Linked DNA regions of Drosophila melanogaster. The protein of the gene in region 1 purifies or fractionates together with the protein of each later gene. This does not show direct contact. Each region holds a gene or a part of one and is shown in the gene's direction. Other genes may lie near its edges. The genes, in order: sphe, CG14823, Oscillin and CG9581.

The links.
Region 2: the proteins of sphe (region 1) and CG14823 purify together in Drosophila melanogaster (affinity purification with mass spectrometry, with the first as the bait; one large-scale study listed by BioGRID). This does not show direct contact.
Region 3: the proteins of sphe (region 1) and Oscillin purify together in Drosophila melanogaster (affinity purification with mass spectrometry, with the first as the bait; one large-scale study listed by BioGRID). This does not show direct contact.
Region 4: the proteins of sphe (region 1) and CG9581 purify together in Drosophila melanogaster (affinity purification with mass spectrometry, with the first as the bait; one large-scale study listed by BioGRID). This does not show direct contact.

Annotation. Positions count from the first base shown.
Region 1 is NC_004354.4:16,699,431-16,704,165, reverse strand, and holds sphe (spheroide), read left to right. Parts: upstream 1-2,193; 5' UTR 2,194-2,268; coding exon 2,269-2,489; intron 2,490-2,753; coding exon 2,754-3,282; 3' UTR 3,283-3,720; downstream 3,721-4,735. Other genes in the region: CG4653 (uncharacterized protein), read right to left, coding at 1-78; CG9673 (uncharacterized protein), read left to right, coding at 304-536, 658-1,210; CG9676 (uncharacterized protein), read left to right, coding at 4,028-4,254, 4,310-4,735.
Region 2 is NT_037436.4:7,063,801-7,070,292, forward strand, and holds CG14823 (uncharacterized protein), read left to right. Parts: upstream 1-2,513; 5' UTR 2,514-2,583; coding exon 2,584-2,926; coding exon of another isoform or gene 2,927-2,973; exon of another isoform or gene 2,974-3,060; coding exon of another isoform or gene 3,061-3,068; exon of another isoform or gene 3,069-3,167; intron 3,168-3,754; coding exon 3,755-3,979; intron 3,980-4,203; coding exon 4,204-4,427; 3' UTR 4,428-4,441; coding exon of another isoform or gene 4,442-4,606; 3' UTR 4,607-4,670; coding exon of another isoform or gene 4,671-4,820; 3' UTR 4,821-4,873; coding exon of another isoform or gene 4,874-4,999; 3' UTR 5,000-5,053; coding exon of another isoform or gene 5,054-5,198; 3' UTR 5,199-5,250; coding exon of another isoform or gene 5,251-5,399; 3' UTR 5,400-5,663; downstream 5,664-6,492. Other genes in the region: CG32391 (uncharacterized protein), read right to left, coding at 4,442-4,606, 4,671-4,820, 4,874-4,999, 5,054-5,198, 5,251-5,399.
Region 3 is NT_033779.5:5,545,143-5,551,143, forward strand, and holds Oscillin (oscillin), read left to right. Parts: upstream 1-1,943; 5' UTR 1,944-1,963; intron 1,964-2,060; exon of another isoform or gene 2,061-2,090; 5' UTR 2,091-2,270; exon of another isoform or gene 2,271-2,665; 5' UTR 2,666-2,672; coding exon 2,673-2,770; intron 2,771-2,830; coding exon 2,831-2,958; intron 2,959-3,025; coding exon 3,026-3,567; coding exon of another isoform or gene 3,568-3,600; exon of another isoform or gene 3,601-3,874; coding exon 3,875-3,928; 3' UTR 3,929-3,934; exon of another isoform or gene 3,935-4,277; intron 4,278-4,301; coding exon of another isoform or gene 4,302-4,352; 3' UTR 4,353-4,472; downstream 4,473-6,001. Other genes in the region: Lam (lamin), read left to right, coding at 1-366; CG14014 (uncharacterized protein), read right to left, coding at 4,679-5,665. UniProt on the Drosophila melanogaster protein: Catalyzes the reversible conversion of alpha-D-glucosamine 6-phosphate (GlcN-6P) into beta-D-fructose 6-phosphate (Fru-6P) and ammonium ion, a regulatory reaction step in de novo uridine diphosphate-N-acetyl-alpha-D-glucosamine (UDP-GlcNAc) biosynthesis via hexosamine pathway.
Region 4 is NC_004354.4:20,166,880-20,172,231, reverse strand, and holds CG9581 (uncharacterized protein), read left to right. Parts: upstream 1-2,250; 5' UTR 2,251-2,386; coding exon 2,387-2,758; intron 2,759-2,815; coding exon 2,816-4,081; 3' UTR 4,082-4,190; downstream 4,191-5,352. Other genes in the region: AnxB10 (annexin B10), read left to right, coding at 10-191, 301-303, 584-640; CG9578 (uncharacterized protein), read right to left, coding at 854-1,102, 1,167-1,386, 1,474-1,808, 1,869-1,883; CG9577 (uncharacterized protein), read right to left, coding at 4,252-4,350, 4,417-5,041, 5,113-5,275.

The DNA of each region.
Region 1 (4,735 bases):
GGATTGGACCACGCCCAAGGTCACGATGACCACGAGCAGGAGTAGTCGACTGTGTGAATATGACTGAACCGGACTCATGGCTTGTGGGATCTCAACTGAAAGGTGCGCCTACCGGCCGGCGGACCTTTATAGAACACCCCGTTTACGACCATGGGTTAAGCAATCTAATCGCCACACGATTGTTACCCCCATAAATTCAAGTCGCTCTCCTTATCGCCATACAATGCCCATCGATTAGATCGCTAAGTGGCGGTGACCACCGATCGTTGGCTGATGGGCCCATTCAGTTGCCAATCCATCGCCATGGCTGATCCACGCATTACTCTCGGCCTCGGCCTGCTAATCTTTGGCCTGATCCTCTCCGCGGAAGCCTCGCCACAAGGTCGCATTCTTGGCGGCGAGGACGTTGCCCAGGGCGAGTACCCCTGGTCCGCATCCGTGAGATACAACAAGGCCCACGTCTGCTCCGGCGCCATCATCTCAACAAACCACATCCTGACCGCCGCCCACTGTGTGTCCAGCGTGGGCATCACCCCGTGAGTTCTAACTACACTTTATGATTATATACACTTGGATTCCCTAAGCACTTCACTTTGAGAACTTTAAGAATATATATTCATCTACCAGTTCTAATCCCTATTTGTTCTAAATCCCCAGAGTGGATGCCAGCACCTTGGCTGTTCGCCTGGGCACCATTAACCAGTACGCCGGCGGCAGCATTGTGAATGTAAAGAGCGTGATCATCCATCCATCGTACGGAAACTTCCTGCACGACATCGCCATACTGGAGCTGGACGAGACCCTGGTCTTTAGCGATCGCATCCAAGACATCGCACTGCCCCCCACAACTGATGAGGAGACGGAAGATGTGGACGCTGAGCTGCCCAACGGAACTCCGGTCTATGTGGCTGGATGGGGTGAACTTTCGGATGGTACTGCATCCTATAAACAGCAGAAGGCCAACTACAATACGCTGAGCCGATCCCTGTGCGAATGGGAAGCCGGATACGGCTACGAATCCGTCGTCTGCCTCTCGAGAGCCGAGGGCGAGGGCATCTGTCGTGGGGATGCCGGTGCGGCTGTCATCGATGACGACAAGGTGCTTCGCGGTTTGACCAGCTTCAACTTCGGACCCTGCGGCAGCAAGTATCCGGATGTGGCCACCCGTGTCTCCTACTACCTAACCTGGATCGAGGCCAATACCCAGTAAAACTTTTGGTTCGCCATCCAAGGACTACCCTTTATTTTTTTATACATTTTTTTCATGTGCATAAAGTGTGTTACTCCCTCTACAAAAAAAAACGTTTTGTGTTTTTAACTTTATATGGATGCAAACTATATGGAATTTAGTGCTGGTCATAAAGCTACAATCGATAGAATAACATTTAATTGGCGCCGTTCAAAGGTTCTTTAATTACTAAGAAATTACCTTGAAACCTGTTTCTAATTTATGGGATGCCGTCAAGGATTATCTAACAAAATTGCCAAGTAAATGGTCACAACAATTGGCTATTATTGTTTATGGAGTCATATATATTAGAGAGTATGGCTATTTAACAGAACATTTAGATAGAGATCGAAGGAAATCGCCGTAATCAACCTGGGAACCAAACTTTTGTGCAGCTAGCTTGATCAATCGCCAATGACTGGGCTAAATCTTTATAATCCAGATTTGTTATCGCCAAGCTAAAGGGTAATTCCTACTAAATACGTTGATAATTTGCTTACATTCAAGGCAATTTTATAGAGTTTAATTAACACCAAAATGTTTAGACATTTTATTGAAAGAGCAACTCAAAAAATCCAAAGTTTTCCACGACTGATTTTAGATTATTCTGAGACCTGAAGCACCCTAATTTCCGTAGCTCCCCTGAGTCATGTGTTACTCATCATTATCTCCTATAGATGGTTGTAGTTGTACTGTCACTGGACACTGGTCGTTTGGTTTATTTGGACTTCCCTTCAACCGACTTGTGCAATTTTCTATTTATGTGCCAATTAATCGGTGAACTAACAAGTAACAATAGTCTATAGCGGCATAAAGCCATTGCCATAAGGCGATAAGATTAGATTTTCTCTGATGCCCAAGCCGAAGATAAGGATTGGTCAAGGAAGTGGTGGAGAACTTCGGGTAGAAGGTGGAGGAGGTGGTAGTTATATGGAGCTAGTCTCTTATATTCTCGTCGCTGGCATTGCGCATTTTCATTCCAACTGCCGTGGGTAGCAGAACCACCAAATAAAAAACCAAAAAAAAAATACAGGAACAAAATGATGCAGCCGAGACTAGTGATTTTGGGTCTGATCGGATTGACGGCGGTGGGCATGTGCCACGCCCAGGGACGCATCATGGGAGGGGAGGACGCGGACGCCACAGCCACGACCTTCACCGCCTCCTTGCGGGTGGACAATGCCCATGTGTGCGGCGGTAGCATTCTCTCCCAGACCAAAATCCTGACCACCGCCCACTGTGTGCATCGCGATGGAAAGCTGTGAGTACCAAAGTCAATCTACTAATTAATTAATTTTTACTACTAATTAATTGATTCATATTATTAATATTAAGTGCTCTTAAATAGTGGAAGTAGCAAATATGTAGTTTGGTTTGTACAACTAGGCGAATGAGTGATATTTGAAGATGGCCTATGCCTCGAATAACCATGTATTCCCTTTTTGTTTAAACCATTATATACAATACATTCAATACAAAAGTCTTGATAAAGTAATCTAGATTATTCTCACGAAATCCCCAACAGAATCGATGCCAGTCGCCTGGCGTGCCGCGTGGGCAGTACCAACCAGTATGCTGGTGGCAAGATTGTCAACGTGGAATCGGTTGCAGTGCATCCGGACTACTATAATCTGAACAACAACCTGGCCGTGATCACGCTGAGCTCTGAGCTGACCTACACCGATCGGATCACTGCCATCCCGCTGGTCGCCAGCGGAGAGGCACTGCCCGCCGAGGGATCGGAGGTGATCGTGGCCGGCTGGGGACGCACCAGCGACGGCACCAACTCCTACAAGATCCGTCAGATATCGCTAAAGGTGGCCCCGGAGGCGACCTGCCTGGATGCGTACAGCGATCACGACGAGCAGAGCTTCTGCCTCGCCCACGAGCTGAAGGAGGGCACCTGCCACGGAGACGGAGGCGGTGGTGCCATCTATGGCAACACGTTGATCGGGCTGACCAACTTTGTGGTGGGCGCCTGTGGCTCCCGCTATCCGGATGTCTTTGTCCGACTCTCCAGCTACGCGGATTGGATCCAGGAGCAGATCGCCTAGATCCGTTTCATCCCGTTTTTCCTTCACAAGCTAACAAAATAGAAACTATTTTCCCAAACTCAAAGCGGGCAAAATGACTCAATAGTTTGATTTTGATAAGGATAAGGATCGGTGATTGCCACTGGACTTGTGGTTAACGTAATAATCGCTAACTAAGCATGCTTATTTATTGTATTTATGACCTCAATGGCATGGCTTTTATAGCCCAGAACTCGAGTCATCGATAAAGCATTCCGGTTTTAGGGTCAATTTAGGCAAGCTTTACGTAATTTGGGCCTACAATTAGTTATATAAGGAAACTTGAAGACTTTTCAAAATCCAAAACCAAACCTTTTTTTTAAATGCCTTCTTTTGCTGTTCGAAACTGAAGAGATCTGCACTTTAAGATCTAATAATTATAATAAATGTGCAATAATTATGCAATAGGAAACTTTCGGCAAATTTCGTTTAAACATTTTCGTGCTTCCTTAACCCTTTTCGTCCAACTTTGACCTCCAAACTCTTACCACCGTGCGTTGCACACCCCTTGTAATTAGAGGGGCTTCATTTGCGAACGAAATGGGGTAACTAAACTAAATTAGGCAGCAGCTCGATAGCGACATTGACTTTGACATTTTAAGGAACTAATGATGATGAGCGTCTTAGATTTGGGTAGTATATATGCATACATATACATATATATATATATACATCCAGTGAAACTTGCAGTGAGCACTGCTTTTCAGTTAGCTAAGCCCAACCAGTCATGTTACCATTCTGGACATCTCTACTCGTCCTTTGCGCAGCCGGAGTCCTGGCACAAAACGATTCCGTAGTGGAGCCCCGCATTGTGGGCGGCACCAAGGCGAGGGAGGGTCAGTTTCCTCACCAGATCTCACTACGTCGACGTGGAAGCCACACTTGTGGTGGCTCCATAATCTCCAAGGACTACGTTGTCACCGCCGCCCATTGCGTTAAGCAAGGCAACAATGTGTAGGTATTGAATCTTCGGGATTTCGCGTTTCTCAATCAGAGTGCTTGCCCTTAGAGCTCCAGCTAATGAGCTGGAGATTCAGGCGGGCAGCCTGCTCCTTTCCAGCGGAGGAGTTCGCGTTCCAGTGGCCACCGTCACCGTGCATCCCAATTACAACTCCAATGGCCACGATGTCGCCGTGCTGCGACTTCGCAACTCGCTGACCTTTAACTCCAACATAGCCGCCATCAAGCTGGCCACCGAAGATCCGCCCAACGATGCCACCGTGGACATCTCCGGCTGGGGCGCCATCTCCCAGCGCGGACCGATCTCCAACTCCCTGCTCTACGTGCAGGTGAAGGCCCTATCCCGGGAATCTTGCCAGAAGACGTACTTACGCCAGCTGCCGGAAACCACGATGTGCCTGCTGCATCCCAAGGATAAGGGTGCCTGCTACGGGGATTCCGGTGGTCCGGCCACCTACCAGGGCAAACTGGTCGG
Region 2 (6,492 bases), on another chromosome or scaffold:
AAAAAGTAAAGCGGTCTTCGTTTCAAGCTGTCCAGAATGAGTAGTGCAAAGGGCATTAAAAACGGAATTTTCTGCAGATTGATGTTAAATTGGCAAACCCCCAAGCACACCAAAGCCAATGAAAAGGAAATTCTGAAAAACCAGCTGCACTCTTTACATTAAAAGGGCTATTGCCTGACCACCCCCTTCTCATTTAAGCCATAATGGGCATCTTGCCGCAAATCTAATTAACTTTGTTTTAGCATGCTACGTGCCCCGTGTACATCAGCCGGAATGGCCACATTGGCTCAACTCATGCATATCGCATGCAACAGCGGCAGCGGCAAAAGGACGAGGTGGTCAAACTGGGCGGAAAGAGGAAGTGGGTGGCAAAATCAGACCGGAAAGAGCCGTTACCGTTACCGCTGAACGGCAGCTTGCCGCCCACCATAATCGAGTGCACCAAGTGCTCGTACTCGCGTTCAGATTTCAGCTCATTTTCATTTTCCTTTCCCATTTTCGTGCATTTTCCGCGCGCGGAGAAAACCCGAAGGACGAGGTCTTAAATGCCAGCTCACAAAAGGAACTGGAGTGGAAAATTTGCAAGAAAAGAATTCACCGCATATTATTTCACATGCATGGCGACACCCTCATCCCATTCGTATCCCAAAAGCAATCCCAATCCAAACGGTATAAAGGCCATTTAGCCCAACCACTGGTAATTTTTCCATAATTGATTTTGGCTTGCGGTCTGGCTCGTCCTTTCATCTGGCCATGTGTTAGTCAGGGGCAGGAAACCCTCACGCACCCCCACACATACAAATGAGTTTTTGCCTTGGCCGTATGTGAAGAAAAACATACCGAAATGGGAAACGGAAACGCCTTGAGACAATGGCGACATTGGCGAGGCAATGTGGAAATGGCTGCTGTACAGAAAAACTGAAAGAATAATCAACTAAGTGACGGAGCATTTCTTTTATTTGCCGAGCACCTGTGCAGGATGTGTTCAGAGGCGTCCCCAAAAAAAAGGGACGATAGTTTTGGAAAAATTCTTAACGAATATTTGAGCATGCTCTGGCAAAAGAAGGAAATTATTTGCTTGTATATTTCTTTAAATAGGAAATGAACAACTTAAATAAATTCAAAGTCTTCTTTCCCATTTTAAAATCTTAAAATCTTTAATTTGTTTGATATTTTCGCAAAACATGGAATTCTTTTGTATTTACACTTTTGGAAGCAGTTTGTAAAAATTGTTTGAGTGCCAAAAGTCCAAGAATGCAAGGCGTGATTGGAAGGTGTCAACAACTTTGTTCTCATCTCAATGAAAAGTTTTCGAAAAATCTTTGCTGTCCCACTTGATAGCAAACAAACTTGATCGAAGATATTCTAGAAAAATAATATAAATAAATGGGAAGTAAACAGAGATTTGCAGCATTTTAGGATGCATTGCACGGGTACACCCACACTTTGCTGTTGACAGATTTCGATGGTCGTGAAGTAAGTTTGCGTATGAAGAAGTGGCACTTCAGGAGGCTTCGAGGACGTCCTGGTCACACCCCTTCTCGAAGGATGACGCTCCTTCCACTGGATACTGGTGCCACAAACGGCTGCTGTTGTTTGCTGCCCCAACTTTCGTTCCAATTTCGCCGCAAGAGTCTCAACAATTTCTCATATTTGTTTACAATTCGCGCATACAAATGCGCAAGGTTATCAGCAAAACCAGCCACCCAACCACCACCCATTTGGCAAATATCGCCACCCATTTCCCCCCTTTCAATGGACGGCTGCCATAAGTTGTCATGTCGCAAATGGAAGCGGAGTGTCACCGACACCCAATCTAAAGATACACGTGAAAAAATCAAATGAATATGTAATAAAATCAATAAAAACTACATACTGCTGAAATTTAAAAAAAAAATTATGTTCCATGTCACGAAAACATATGTATTAAATATATTAAACTATGCTTCCATGAAAAATTGTGCATACATTCAGTTCTTTATTAGAGCTGTTATAATTAATCAAATGCCAAAGAAATATAAGAGAATGAAATTAAAAATATACAAAGCTTAAAATTAAATGCAGATACCACATTTTTGATAATATTTTTATTCACTTTCTGAAATAATTTCAATCATATTAGTTTGAGTATTATGTGCAAAATAAGCACGGCTTGGTCGCCAATGCTGCCGAATATAGTACTTTTAAAATAAACTCACTACTTGTTTAAATTCGTGCCACTTTTAGGAATGAAACCACATGCAATTTAAACTTGTTGAGGTGTACAACTACTGATGTTCGGGAATTGGAGAAAAATCACCATGTTGAGCGCCACTTGAATGCGAGAGAAAAATCACCGAAATGCTGGAGGAATGGAGAACAAACGCTGGAACAGATTAGCTGGTCGGGGGAAAAAAAAACGCTGGGAATGTAGAAACCGCAATCGCCGGGCATCAATTACGCCGACAACATTGAGCGATAATCGAGGGGAGGTTATCTCGAGCAGCACCTGTAACTTGGTACCATGTACAAATGCCACAGAGTGTTCCAGCTATTCGCTTGGGTTAGTCGGTTTGCGATAGCAAAGGGAGAAGCCAGCTCGCCATGGAGCCCACATGCAGCAGCAGTGTGGCGGAATTGGCCAAATACAGTGAGGATGATGTGGAAACGGATGAGTCCAAGGTGGTGGAGCATCAGGAATATGCCGAAGCGCTGTCAATGTCCGGGGAAAGTCGTAAGCGGAAACGATGGACTCGAAGGTCCTGCTGCACTCGCCAAGTCCTGAGTACGGGCGCCATTTTCATCGCCCTTCTGCTCATCATCGGCGCCATTTACATGCACTTAAGACAGAAGCATCATCTGGGCCGACTGCACATCAATCTCAAGGATCGGGGGCAAGTGGAGGTCCTGGAGGAGGACTTTCCCATGGTCACCGCTGCGGGAGTGGGTGAGTGTGCCACAAGGACTCTTGTTCAATCGCTAAGAAGCTCTTAGACTTCGGTTAATTTTATAAGCGGTTTATATTGTTGGGATAGTGGTATTTTCTCTCTTTTTCTTTGTTTTGTTTTTTTTCTTTCCCAGCTGACTGATTAGAATTGCCATTAGATGAACCAGCAGATTTCAACGTTTCGAAATTATAGCGATAATAAATAAAAGCTTGTATTTATTACACAACAACTATGCAACGCGTGAGTTGTTTTTATTGTATATAAAAAATTTTAATCGATCATTTCAATAAGTGACAGTCATCGACAGTATGTCAAGCACGTAAAAGTTTGAGATTAAACTGTAAATAATAAATACACATCTGCTAAAGTTTGCCAGCATTCAATATAGATTTATAGTTTCTACATTCGCCTTAAGTTCGACTTGAAAACTTTAGTCTCAAACAATTATTTTTCCGACGGAAGACTTATATTTATTAAGTAACAGGAAGTTTGTAAACACCAAATGTGAACTCAATTTAAGTTTCGTTTAGCAACGTCCTCTGCACTTATAAGGCCAAAATATAGTCGGAACTATGTTTTACATCAATTTAAAGTTCATAAAAGTGCAGTTTAAAGTTGCTTCAGTAAATCTGCTAATAAAACATACTCAAAAAACTTTGCAACTAACGAGGAGAGTGCGGTTTAAACGTGAGGTCTAGGAGCTATTTACGTCCACGGGAACTATGGATAACTCACTGCCAACTATGCTGCATGCTGTTAGCCATATTGTGTGGTAAATAGTTTCGATTAAACGGCTAATTGGACCCTCTTTGGAATGCATTTTGCAGATGCCCAGACCTCGACGATAACAACATTCCAGCCGCCTCCGACATCCTCCCCAGAGCCCAGTGCCAAGTGCCTGGACTGCATGGCCACCACTGCCACGGATAATATTCCGGCAATCTGCAGGCACCGAGGACGACCAGAGGAGCCGTGCGGCATTTATCGCATCTCCCACGTCTACTGGCAGGACGCACTCCGGATAATTGACCCGGACGACTCACTCGCCCGGGGTAATGAATACACTGAGCAAAAATGTTTGGCAACAAAATTACAACAAGTCGAAAGCATAAGCCATTTCTCCATTTCTCTATTAATTTTAAATTTGCTTTTCATCTTCAGTTTCAAGATTTTGTTGTAAATTTCTTCATGTGTATCCTGTTGTTGCCAGGCTGCCACAAGCGTGTAATGTCCACCGACTAACCCTTTTTCCTACATCTCACCCTTCAACCCACAGACTACGGAAGATGCGTGGTGGATGTCCAGTGCGCCGAGCGTATTGTGCGTAGCTATGTGCAGCGATATGGTGGCGAGGATTGCAATGGAGACGGACGGATCGAGTGTCGGGATCATGTGAGGCTGCACATGAGAGGACCCGGCGGCTGCCGCAGGCAGGAGCCACTGGGGAGCCTGTCTGAGAGGAGATTGGAAAACTGCTTGAAATACAGGGGGATTACTTAAAACCGATTGTTCGTTTATTGTTTCAACTGCAGGCGATGCATTATGGGCCGCCAGTAGAGGGTTAGCACAAAGAGGCCTATGAACTCGTGGAACAGCAGCAGGGCGGCGAACTTGTCATCGAACAACTTGGTCGAGGCCCTTCTTCCGCCCATGATGCACTGCACATGATACATCAGGAACTGCAAGTGATTTGTGGTTATGCGGCAGACAGTTGCAGGCTGGTAAAATGCGAAAAATGCTTACCATCATCACCACACAGCCGATACAGAATGCGAAGAGATAAAATCCCCAGATCACGTCGAGAACCACATACAATACCAGGGAGTATATGCTCAGTGAGTAAGTGCCAGTTGCAAGGGCATATAGGTAGAGTCCGGTGCCTGTGAGGTCATACTTAGGCAAGATTTTGGTTGATTATTTAACATCCTTTATCTGTACTAGCTTACCGCCATTAAAGCAGCTATAAGTGTACATAACACAAATGCAAGGCTGACAATCAGAAATCCGGCAAGCATATAAAGTACTCCCGATGATATGATCAGCACACTGAGAGAAACTACCACACATTCCACCTTAATATGCTATGGGGTTACATTGTTAGGTAATTTAATTGTTAGAATACCCACGATAATAAACGTAATCAGCCAGTTGACACAGGACATTTTCCTTAGCGGCATACTTAGGGCAAACAGGAAAAGTAGGAAAATGCCAAATACAAAGGCTAGGAGCAATGCAGATGAGTGCTCGTTTACCAAGACCAGAAACCATTCGCTAGTAGTAATTACATAAATCATAAGTAAAAAAGTTATTATCCAAATCTTACTGCAGCAAGGTTAGCACCAGGATCCAGTGAACAAATCCTATCACAATGAAGACGCATAACTCCAGAATAACCTTTATGATATATCTTCGCCTATCATCCACAGATTCCGAGTGGAAAAACGGCCAGATGGTTATATCTGCCTCGAACATGGCAAAAGAAAAAATAGTTTGATTTTGGGCACCAGGCCGTCTGAGGCAAAGTAACTCTGAGATTCGTATAAAAAATTTACGCTATTCCCGGCATGGACACACTAATTGCACATCGAAATGGGCCGTCCAGAGCACAAAGTTAATGGGAGCGAATTAGAACAAACAATGACGACGATTCGGCGTACATAATTGAACTCGACAAAACTTTATAATCTGGCAGCATCGCGAACAAATTGAACAACAACTCGCAAGTGTGTAATAATTAAAAGTTTGCGCAAAATGTAGCGGACAAACAAGCGGAGGGGAGACAAAAGTTTTGGCGCAAGTTTTAAATCATTTAGCAGGGCCGGACTAATTGCTGCCATGTCGCATTAATTTGTTGCGACTGATAGCGGGCAAACAGTGCGTATGCGCAATGCATAAATTTATGATTTCCATCATGGCCTACCTAGGATTTGTCGGACTCTTAATCGCAGGATAAAGAGACTTATGGCATAGGTTTGCATATACTTATAATACAAATCTAAGAACTTTTTGTTAATTCATGATTCAACTTCAATGTTTATAAAGTTGGCAGAGTTTTAATACCGAGATATTTTTCTCTGTATTTTATATTTCACATTTAATTATTTTAGCCTTACCGACATCAATGCCCAAGTAAGTCGGCATTGTTTATCCCTAGGACGATGACGTTGATTTCTGCCTCGCCTGAGTCCTAATCTCTCGATTGCATGACAAGTGTACATAACTTTATTCAATCAAATGTGCAAATAGCGCATGTTGCAAACAGAAATAGTCCAAATGAGCAGACAATATGCGGCATAGACAATCCGATAAGAAGCGACTCAGACTCGCGATTCGTGTTCATTAGTTATTGTCGATATTGAGCGCTGTTGATAAACATGGCTTGATTGTTTGATTGATTGGGGACCGACCGGCTGAACTGCTGAATTGCTGCCAACTGGCCATGGCCAAGGACAAAAGAGTTTCATTTAAAAACAATTACCAATTCGGTTGAATAACTCGATGTGCGCTGATATTTTTCTTTTTCACTGGTCCGTGTCAAAGGTGTCGTTCATCCACGATGGGAAGG
Region 3 (6,001 bases), on another chromosome or scaffold:
CTGCAGCGGCTAATCAACGAGAAAGGTCCTTCGACCACTTACAAGTTCCATCGATCGGTGAGGATCGAGCCAAATGGCGTGATCACCGTTTGGTCGGCGGACACCAAGGCCTCGCACGAGCCGCCATCGAGCCTTGTGATGAAGTCACAGAAGTGGGTCTCCGCCGACAACACTAGGACGATTTTGCTGAACTCCGAGGGCGAGGCCGTGGCCAATCTGGATCGCATCAAGCGCATTGTGTCCCAACACACATCCTCCTCCCGGCTGAGTCGTCGTCGCAGCGTGACCGCCGTGGACGGCAATGAGCAGCTCTACCACCAGCAGGGCGATCCTCAGCAGTCAAACGAGAAGTGCGCCATTATGTAAAATCAAACGCAGCACAACACAACTCTTTCCTCTTTGCTGAACAAGACAAACAAAATAAGCACACACGAAGATCATAATTTAGAACCCAAAAACACACACACCGAGGTACAGAGATTTATTATTCAGCTAAGTTATTTTTTGTGGCCGCAGCGCCAATTATTTAATCAAAAACATTTGTGTAGAAGACATCCTGAATCTTCGTTTCGTTTGTACACTTTCGTTTTCCCTTTCTTAACAAATTCTATAGTTTATTGTTTCGATGTTTTTGTATTTCCGCGTTAACTAATCTATTGTAAACTTTATTTGGTATAAACTGGAGAGGCATGTTGCCTCTTTTTTATGCCACATAGAATTTACGTAAGACGTTCACTTCTTGTATTCGCGGCGGCAAGAACTTTGAAAATATTGCAAGAAAAACAATATTTTCGATGTACTTACGCTCCACCTACATATTTAGTAAATTAGTTTTTAAGCTATATCCCAGATAAACCAGTCGACGTCAGCAAACAACAACAAAAAAAAAACAACGAGCACGTAGTGAGTGATTTATAAGATACAGGTCAAGAGGATTAACTAAAGAAAACAAACGCTCCTGACAACAGACATATTTATTTAAGTATTTTTTGTACAATCAACATAAAATACATTATACATTATACATACATATACATACATACATTATATATATAGACTCATGCCTACGGAAGTGACAACCAGCCAGCAATATATATTTTTAGCCATGGCCATAGGGTTTACGATCCACCAAAACGGCTTTCTCCCGGTTTAGACCGGTTCTTGAGCTTCCTGCAGACATTTTACCGGACGAGCAACAATAAGAACAGCAACAACAACAACAGCATTAACAGCAACAACACAAATGTACAACAATTACAAAAGCAACAAAGAAGAAAAACGAAAGAAAATGGAAGTACACGTAGCGGCTCAGCGATCCGTCGCATTTTTTATGGGTGGGCGTGGTCGCGTTTTACGCCGGCCAAACAAATGCAACGCCCACACAGACTATTATACAAAAACTGATGAATACAACTAAATTTTAAGTACATCTACGTTTATGTATGTAATTGCTAATAATTTGATAATTAAAAAATAAAGAAACCATGTTTAATAAAAATTAAAAACAAACTTTGATTTAGCAATAGAGAGAAAGACATAAAAAAGTATTAAATAGTTTTAAAGCGTATACTGAAACCAATAAGCTCCTACGAATTTCGTAATAGTAGGGTACGCATTTCACTTTCGACGCCTGGTGGCCCTTTTTTCGTCACTCGCTTTGCGTTTCTATTCGTCGCCATGAGTTATTTTTGGAATTTTAATTTTTCTGCGTCTGTATTAGTTGCCTACATGCTTTTTCAATGCGTGTGTTCGCTCATAAACTTTATTTTTGAGTGACTTATCGATTATTTTTGAGTGCAGGACGTTTCAAAACCAACGTGCTTTCGCATTTATAAATATAATTTCTCTTCTTCTTCCGACCATGATTGTTTCTTTTAAAAATGTTAGGTGTCAACCCTGTCGATAGAGAAGAGAGCAAAATCCACTCAAACGAAACGCACTCAACGCGAGAGATGCGGTTAAAGTTCGTTCAACTGGCAAATGCAGTGACCGTTTAACCCGCGATAACGATAACAAAAGTATCTCAAGGTTGCTTGCAATTGCATTTCTGATTATTCTCTCTCTTTTTCTCTCTCTTATTCCAACCGCAGCCGCAAAAACAAACTCAAACTCGAGCTAATCGCTGCATAAATTTGCTGTTCGAATTGAACAATTGAACAGTCTCAGTTAGCAGCTGAAATCGGAAATAAGCGACAAAAGCAGCAGTGCGAGCAAAAATCAAGTAATAATAATCATCAATAAGCAGCTGTTTGCATTCGCGTGTTTTGAAGGTGAGTAGCCAAGTTAATACATATGTATATTGCATAAATGCAAGTACAAATCGCATTGCCAAGTGAAAACGAAAGTGTTTTCCATGGGGGCAACGCCATAAATGGATTAATTGTCAATAATGGCCAAGTACTTGCGGCTTATCAGCTGATTTGGACAATAAACAAGCGAGTACACACACGAAAAACACAACTGAATGAGCCGCATTACTCTTGTATCTTATCAACATCTAATCTAAATCCTGGGTTCGGCTAGTTAACGATAAGGCCTTTGTTTTTCCATATCGGAACTGTCATTCCTTTTCGGCACTCACAGCCGGTAATGTGTTTTAGATTTTCACTGAAAAGTAAGATTATCATATTCTGCACTTATTTCATATATTTAATAACGCTTTCAGCTTAACAATGAGATTGGTCATCTTGGAAACCAGCGACTCGGTGGGCAAGTGGGCGGCCAAATATGTGATGAAACGCATCAATGACTTTCAGCCGAGTGCCGACAGGTATGCACATACATATAAGCTATATACATTTGGCACCTGGTAACAGGCACTATTCTTTAGATACTTCGTTTTGGGCCTGCCCACGGGATCTACGCCATTGGGAATGTACAAAGAACTGATCGAGTTTCATAAGCAGGGCAAGGTATCCTTTCAGTATGTGAAAACCTTCAATATGGATGAGTATGTGGGTGAGTTATCATTTCATAACGTTTACTAGATCTGTTTCATGTCAATTGTGCCCCATTCTTTTTCTAGGACTGGCCAGAGATCACCATGAGAGCTATCACTACTTCATGTGGAACAACTTCTTCAAGCACATCGACATTGAGCCCAAGAATGTGCACATTTTGGATGGCAATGCAGCTGATCTGGTGGCCGAGTGCAATAAGTTCGAGGATCAGATCCGCGAGGCTGGAGGAGTGGAGCTGTTCATCGGTGGCATCGGACCCGATGGCCATATTGCCTTCAATGAGCCCGGCTCCTCATTGGTGTCCCGAACGCGGGTGAAAACTCTGGCGCAGGATACACTTGAAGCGAATGCCCGTTTCTTTGACAACGATATGAGCAAGGTGCCCAAACAGGCTTTAACCGTGGGCGTTGGCACTGTGATGGACTCCAAGGAGGTGATGATCCTCATCACCGGAGCTCACAAGGCATTTGCCCTGTACAAGGCCATCGAGGAGGGTGTGAATCACATGTGGACCGTCAGTGCCTTCCAGCAGCATGCAAATACCCTGATGATCTGCGACGAGGATGCCACTTTGGAGCTGAGAGTTAAGACCGTTAAATATTTCAAGGTATGCCCGCCCACGATGTCGTCGCTTTTGTAGACGAACTGGGAATAGAACTGGTATACTGGTGAATTAGGGTCTACCGAAGGTGTTGGTCTAATAACCCCCCTAACTTGAAAATCTAATCTTTAGAAGCAGAAGTTGGATACATGTGAACTCTTATATGGTTGTTAGTTAAGTCTAAGAATTTTGCATGCCTATATGCTTGTAATATAAAAGCTTCCACGGTTGTAGGCATACGGTTAAGTAGAACGTTAAAAGAGACAGCATTTTGTTAACGACTGGCTGACTGGCCATTCCCACAATTTCACAGGGCATTCTCAGAGATCTAGACGAAGGCTCCCCACTGGAGGGCTACAAAAACTGATAATGCGTAAAGTATACAGCTTTATTTTCCAAAGCAATTTTTAAGTAAATGATATTGATTCCAAGGACTATTTCTGTGATTAAGAGAGTCAACAAGTAATGATTATCGGATGGAAGACTGCCTGCTGCTATAAACTAGTTCTTATAAGGTCATTAGAATAATCCAGCTAAAAAAAGAAATCAAAATTAAATATTACTTTTAAATGCCTTTTTTTCCAAGTTTTTTCATTTTAAGAAATATAAAGCAATTGTCTTGATAAAATCTTAGGACCTTGACATGAATTAAAATATAAATATACTTGCAGACACGTTATATTCTTCTAATAAACTCTAAATATTATTATAATTAATTAATATATATACCAATTTTGCAGAGTCTGATGGACGTCCATTCCAAGCTGATAGAGCAACAAAAGACGACGTAACCCCAGATACTAAAGGGAATAATGGAGATCTGGATTCCATCGTTACCAGCATTATAGTTTTTTCAATCAAAAGGAATCGAATTTTTATACAATAAATGAATTTTTATATGTTATCGCCTTAAATTTCTTTAAAATTTATGCGAAAGATGTTGAGTAATCTTTTATTTAAAAACTATAAATTTTAGGTTGCCCATAAATATTGAAAGTTCAAGTTCACTGTATAATTTTGTGGTTTCCATTTTATTATCTAAATGTTCTATAATTACAAATATGTGTACACTATAAGGGGTATAAAAGTGGTGGCTATGCCATTCAAGAAGGGTCCGTCAGATTCTAGACAGGATCTTGTTGTCCGTGTAGACGAACTCCTCGTGATCCTCGATAAGGCGGAAGAGCTCCTTGGCATAGTAGATGGATCGCACCGACTCCTCCAGAATGAGCTGGTGGTTCTGGACGGCCCGTCGCACTTGTTCGTGTATGAACATGGCCTCCAGCCGCTTGGCCCGCTGAGTCAGGCGACAGGCCTCGTTGTTCCGGAGACGTGCTTCGCCGGCCGTCAGACGGCGCTCCACGACGGGCTGATGGCGAGCCGCGTGGCTGTGGTAGCTACAGATGTCGCCGATGACACCGGCATTCACATTGAAGATTCCGTCGGAGGCGCTGATTACCGTTCTGCATGCGGCCGGAGTGCAGACCATTTCTCGTGCCAAGTGCTCACGGATCATCTCCTGCAGGGCTTCGCGGCGTGCGATGGTCAGATAGCCCCGGCGGATGTACTTCCTGCCAATCTTCTCGCGCATCGATTTGAAGCAGAAGACTTGGGTGCCCCAGCATTTGCCTTTGAGTGGGTTGGGATTCTTGCGATCTGCCCGTGGATCCCGGAAAAGTTGCCTCTTCACCCGCTTCAGGCTCTCCTTTTGCGGCGTCAGTCGTTCTGGGAGCAGGCAACTGTTCACCTGGTGCCACACTTCGCCGGGTGTACTCAGCGCCATTGCACTTGTAGTCCTCCAGTACATCTTGTGACCCATGCCGTTCATCAGATACAACTGGCGGATGCATTCGTTGAGGAAGCTCCTCTTCGTGGGGCTCTTGAAGTTGGGCGGGTTATTGAGCACGTAGTGATCTCGCTTGTACACCACGCAGTAGCCGTAGTCCTTGTCTCCGGTGAGGATGCCTGGTTTCTGGTACACGATCAGCTGCTGGTCCTTGTAGTCAATGGGCGAGTTAAAGATGAAGATCTGATTCTTCAGGGCCTCCTCCTCGTTGGGAGTGCGGAACATCATCAGCTTCTTGGAATTCGTGGACTGAGCCATGGCTATCGGCGGTTGGAATGTGAGTGATAATGATGAGGTTGATTTGGTGGGTTTATATAGTGCGACAGGTAGTCGATGTGGGTGGTGCTCTGACCTGTTTGTGATTATGAGCAGGTCAAAGGCTGGGTTTTTTCGAAGCTTTAAATTCTTATGGCCGATTTTATACCTGCGATGCGACAGATGGTCTTCCAGATCTAAGTATTGCCTGCCAATTCGCATTTCCCCTAAGAAAAACCAGGTATAGATAACAATAGGAAATGTTTAAGCAACAGAATGCATTTCGCTTAAGATCAGGCATAACTGCATAACTTCTACTTTTGTTTAAATACTGCAAGT
Region 4 (5,352 bases), 3.5 Mb from region 1:
ACCTTTTAGTTGAGTGCGTCCAGTCACCGGCGGCCTTCTTCGCCAACCGCCTGTACAAGGCCATGAATGGCGCCGGCACCGATGACGCCACGCTCATCCGCATCATCGTCAGCCGCTCGGAGATCGACCTGGAGACCATTAAGCAGGAGTTCGAGCGGATCTACAACCGTACGCTGCACAGCGCCGTGGTGGTAAGTGGATCTCGAAGAATCGCGAGTGCTTCGCACATGGTTAACGCACCCCTTTCCCCTTCTCTTCACGTACTTGTCGGCATTTGTTGCGGTGTTTGTGTTGTCCTAGGACGTAAGTATTGGCCACGCCATTGGTGAAACGGATGTATTCCTGGTCTTGGTTACTCCACGTTATCAAGTGTTCCTTTTACGCTACATATGCTGCCAAAATCCCCATCAAATTATTTCTAAGAACGCCGAAGCAAACTGGTTCTTGGGCATTTTTCGATATCTCATTATTGGCTTGCCAAAAAAGTATTTTCGGGCAAAGTAGTAATTGTAGTGTAGAGGGCATAGCCAAAAAAGCAAGAACTTGGATCTCGCTTCAATACGTTCCTTTCTTTACTTTCCAGGCGGAGACCTCTGGTGACTACAAGCGGGCCCTGACAGCCCTACTTGGATCCGCCTAGGCCCGAGGATGTGGCAGCTGGTCCGCCCAATATTTTATTCGTGTTAATAGCTTTGATCGTAGTGTGCCTTTTAGGAAAATCGCTTTTAATGTCGTCTGCGCATGCGCACACTGTTGGCAATAAATAAACGCATATAGCAGCAGTTGTAACCAATGCGACGACTGACATAAACCTAGAGATCTGGGATCTGGCATCTAGCATCGGACATCGGGACTACTTAAAGAAGAGCTTGTGCAACTGCTTGGACTTCACGGGCACAAATTCTTGCATTTCATCCGGGTTGGTCCAGAAGGCCACACAGTTTTGAAGCTCAGTGCAAGGCGCCTCCCGATGGATGTACTCTTTCAGGATAAAGTCGTTCTCGATCTCGTGGTGGAAGCGGGTGTCGTGCATCCGGATTAGCACGTGGTCCACGCGCAGAAAGTGGCGCAAAAGGATGAAGAAGCCAGAGGGCATCACGCGCTGTGCCAGAAAGAGTTGGGCTTCTTCGATAAGGGCTCTATAATTTGTATTTATCAGCACTTACGATTCGCACGCTCATCACCGATATTCCGTGGTCGTGCAGCTCATCCTCGAACAGAGTTAAATCGTGGTAGAAGATGATGTTCTCGCGCTGCATCAGCTTGAACTTGTTCAGCGTCTGATTCGTGGTCTCCGATCGCACTTTTTCGTTCATGGTGCCCTGGTAGGTGGAGGTGAATGTCCAGTCGAAAGGCTTGAACTTCTCCTCCATTGTCTGCTCGTTACTGGAGTATAGAATTCAATCATTTGGGCGATTTATAGAGGAACAACAGTAGAACGATCCATATCCCAATCTCAATGGGAGTACCCACCGCGTTTCCCGCCACTCCTGAGCACAAGCGACCTCCAGCGGCTGCTTCCCATTGTCCACCAGCGCCAGCGCGTCCATGGGGCAGAACTCGAGAGTGGCGCCGTCCTTGTGCTGTAACACCAGCCGATTCTTGTGGAACACCATGTCGGGCAGGTGGGGCAGCTGCAGGGAGTGCTGGTAGTGGCAGAGGTCGCAGCGGTCGGCCGAGTCCTTGGGACAGCACTTGGCGGTGCCCAGTTGGCAGCTGCTCTTCAGGATGTGCGACTTCTCATACTTGATGGCCCAGTCGTGGAACTGGATGAACTCGCTGTCCACCGGCAGCCGGGGCACAAAGCACTGCAGGACGGGATTACATTGAGTGTTTGGCCATTGGAACTGGGCTATACCAACACATACCTCCTCCATGGACATTCTAAAGATATGTCAAATGATTTCAAAGTGTCTGTCTAAGTCGAAAATACTGTTCCAAAGCCCCCTATTGATCCTGTTAAAAATTTTTGTTATTATGTTAGGGATGCCAATGTCGATTACTTCTAAAGCTTAGCGGCGGTACTATCGAGGTTTTTCGATTGCAGCGCAATATTTAAATGCTATGGGGCGAAAGCAATCAAGTTGGCGTACTTGAGTGGATTCATAAGCTTATATAAGCCGTGGTTGTACACAATTCGAAATGAATCGCGTTTTTTGAAAGCTGCTATAGGTAAGGCGAAACTACATTCACATAGTTGTATAATTTTACAACGATAGTTATCGACATCTGTCAATCGGCGGGACTCTTGTTAAGCAATCGTCTGGCAACCCATGTGTTTTGTTTTTATCCAGGATCGTTAGTGTTTTTAACAGTTCCGTTTTCTGATGTGTATAATATTGTGAAGATTTTAGTTGGCAACCCAAGAACCGGAACCGGCAGCACGATGAATATCCTAAGGCGCCTGGACCGCCTGATCGCTCCCACCGTCCGCCGCAGCGCCGCCATTTCCACCAGCCTGTGGCCACACCGCTGGATGAGCCAGTCCACCACGATCTCCCCAGGAAGTCCCAGCAGCAAATCGACAGTAAACGCGGCCGAGGTGCGTGGCGTGGCTCAGATTCTGCGCCAGCAAAAGGGAAACCTGGGACAGCCCACCAGCGTCTCGCATCCACATCTTATCCAGCCGGACGAGCTGGTTCCGGGCGTGGAGCTGACCGAGATCAAGGAACGCCGTTCGCAGCTGATGCAAAACATCCGCGCCTATGCACGCAGTTTCGGCGGCGAGTTCAATGGGCACTCGAGTTCTTGTCACATGGTGAGGACCTGCAGGCTACAAAGAGAAGCAAAATATATAAACTTGAATCTCTGACAGCTCGTTCTGGGCGCCGCCTCCAAGAAGTATATGAGCGGCAAGATCCCGTACGTGTTCCGCCAGAACTCGGACTTCTACTACCTAACTGGCTGCCTAGAGCCGGACGCCGTGCTACTGCTGACCATCGACGAGGCCCAGAACGTGCAGTCCGAGCTGTTTATGCGTCCCAAGGACCCGCATGCCGAGCTGTGGGATGGTCCGCGCACTGGGCCCGAGCTCGCGGTGCCGCTTTTCGGAGTCACTGAGGCCCATCCGCTGTCCCAGCTGGAGGCGGTGCTGGCCAAGCGCGCAGGCGCCCTAAAACCACACATCTGGTTCGATCAGAAGAGCACCGACCTGCCGTCCCTGGCGGAGAACATGCTGCGATTGAGCGGCAATCAGCAGCGTCCGCTGCTGCCGGCCTACACTTTCCTAGAAGCCATGCGCCTGCTTAAGTCCCGCGACGAGATGCAGTTAATGCGGCGCACCTGCGACATAGCCTCACGCTCGTTCAACGAAGTGATGGCCGAGACCCGGCCAGGTCAGTCGGAGCACCATCTGTTCGCCGCGATTGACTACAAGTGCCGCATGCGCAACGCCAGCTACCTGGCCTACCCGCCGGTGGTGGCTGCCGGTAAAAACGCCACGGTGATCCACTACGTGGCCAACAGCCAGTTGTTGGGTCAGCAGGATCTCGTGCTGATGGACGCCGGCTGCGAGTATGGCGGCTACACCAGCGACATCACACGCACCTGGCCGGCGAGTGGGGTTTTCACGGAGCCGCAGCGCACACTGTACGACATGCTGCACCAGCTGCAGGAGGAGATTATTGGCAACGTGATGAAGCCGGGCGGCGAGACGCTCGACCAGCTGTTCGAGACCACCTGCTACAAGCTGGGCAAGTACTTGCAGGAGATCGGGCTGGTGGGCAAGTCGTTCAGCGAGTACAAGGAACTGGTCAGCCAGGGCTACCGCTTCTGTCCGCACCACGTCTCCCACTACCTTGGGATGGACGTGCACGACACACCGCACGTGCCACGCAACACACGCATCGTGCCCGGCATGGTCTTCACCGTTGAGCCGGGCATCTACATTGGCCAGGATTGCGGCGACGTGCCGCCCGAGTTCCGGGGCATCGGCATCCGCATCGAAGACGATCTGCTCATCAACGAGAACGGCCACGTGGAAGTTCTAACTGAGGCGTGCGTCAAGGATCCACGCGCCCTGCAGGAGCTTTGCAAACAGCAACAGAAGAACCCCGGTGCCTCATCCGCGGAGGCGTTTTAAGAGCTCACAACGAAAACCAAATTCCTAGTCATAAGCCTTTCATTCTCCCGACAACCTTATGAGCTGATTTGGGTCCTAAAGTAAAGGCAGATGCTGTATTTATAAATGCACACATGGCAAATACATTTTAAATTCTGTCAGATTGCAGATTACATATTACAGGTTACCGATCACAGCTTGGCGAACACTGGCTTATCGTCCTTCGTCAACTGGGCGGCCACAGCCTGGGCGAAGTCCTCCGACAGCAGGTTGAGCTTGTTCAGCAGGAGCTGCAAGGTGTGAGGCGTGAGGCGTGGTTAGCTCGTGCAAATTCGTTGAGATATTAGGATACCCACAATGTGATCCAAGCCCTCTTGATTGGTGTGCTCCAGGGAGTACACGAGGCTCTCCTTGGTTGTCTTTACGGCGACGGGACTCTTGCTAGCGATGAGCTCGGCCACGGCCAGGGCTCCGGTCAGCAGGGAATCCTTGTCTGGGAAGAGGCGACTCACCAGGCCCGAGGAGTGGGCCTCGGCGGCCTCGAATTTGCGCCCAGTGAAGCACAGCTCGCGGGCGAGGGACTGACTGCCCACTGCCTTGGGCAGACGCTGCAGGGTGCCCACGTCGGCGGCCATGCCGATGTCCACCTCCTTGACCTGGAAAAAGGCGTCCTCGGTGCAGTAGCGAATGTCGGCGGCGGTAATCAGGTCCACGCCGGCGCCGATGCACGCCTTGTGCACCGCCGTGATGACCGGCTTGGGGCAGTGCTCCAGGCTGCTGATTGAGTCCTGGTACACCTTGATCATTCGCTCCATGGAGACGCCCTTGCGGGCGTAGTCATCGGTCTCGGCCAGCGTTTGGCCCACGTTTATCATGTCGTTGAGGTCGATGCCGGCGGTGAAGTGCTTTCCGGAGGCGGACAAAACGATAGCCCGGCAGTCGGGATTAGTGGCCAGTCCGTCGAAGCACTCCTTGATCTCCCTGGAAATGGGTAACGCAGTTTGGGTTAGCAGTCTGCGGAACAGGAAACGGGAAGCTATTGGATAACCCACAGCCACATCTGCTTGCTTATGGCGTTGAACTTGCTGGGCCGATGGAGCTCCACATGAAAGACGAACGGCTTGGGCGAACTGACGGCCAGCGTCTTGAAAGAGCCGGTGGGTCCGGATTCCGGGAGGGCGGAAAGGTTTCTCTGCATCTTAAGGGATCCGATGGCTGACGGGAAGTGCAATTGATTGGACTTTTAAAACGATGAAGAGACAAAGGTTCAATCACCGGTGTTCGGACTTTGA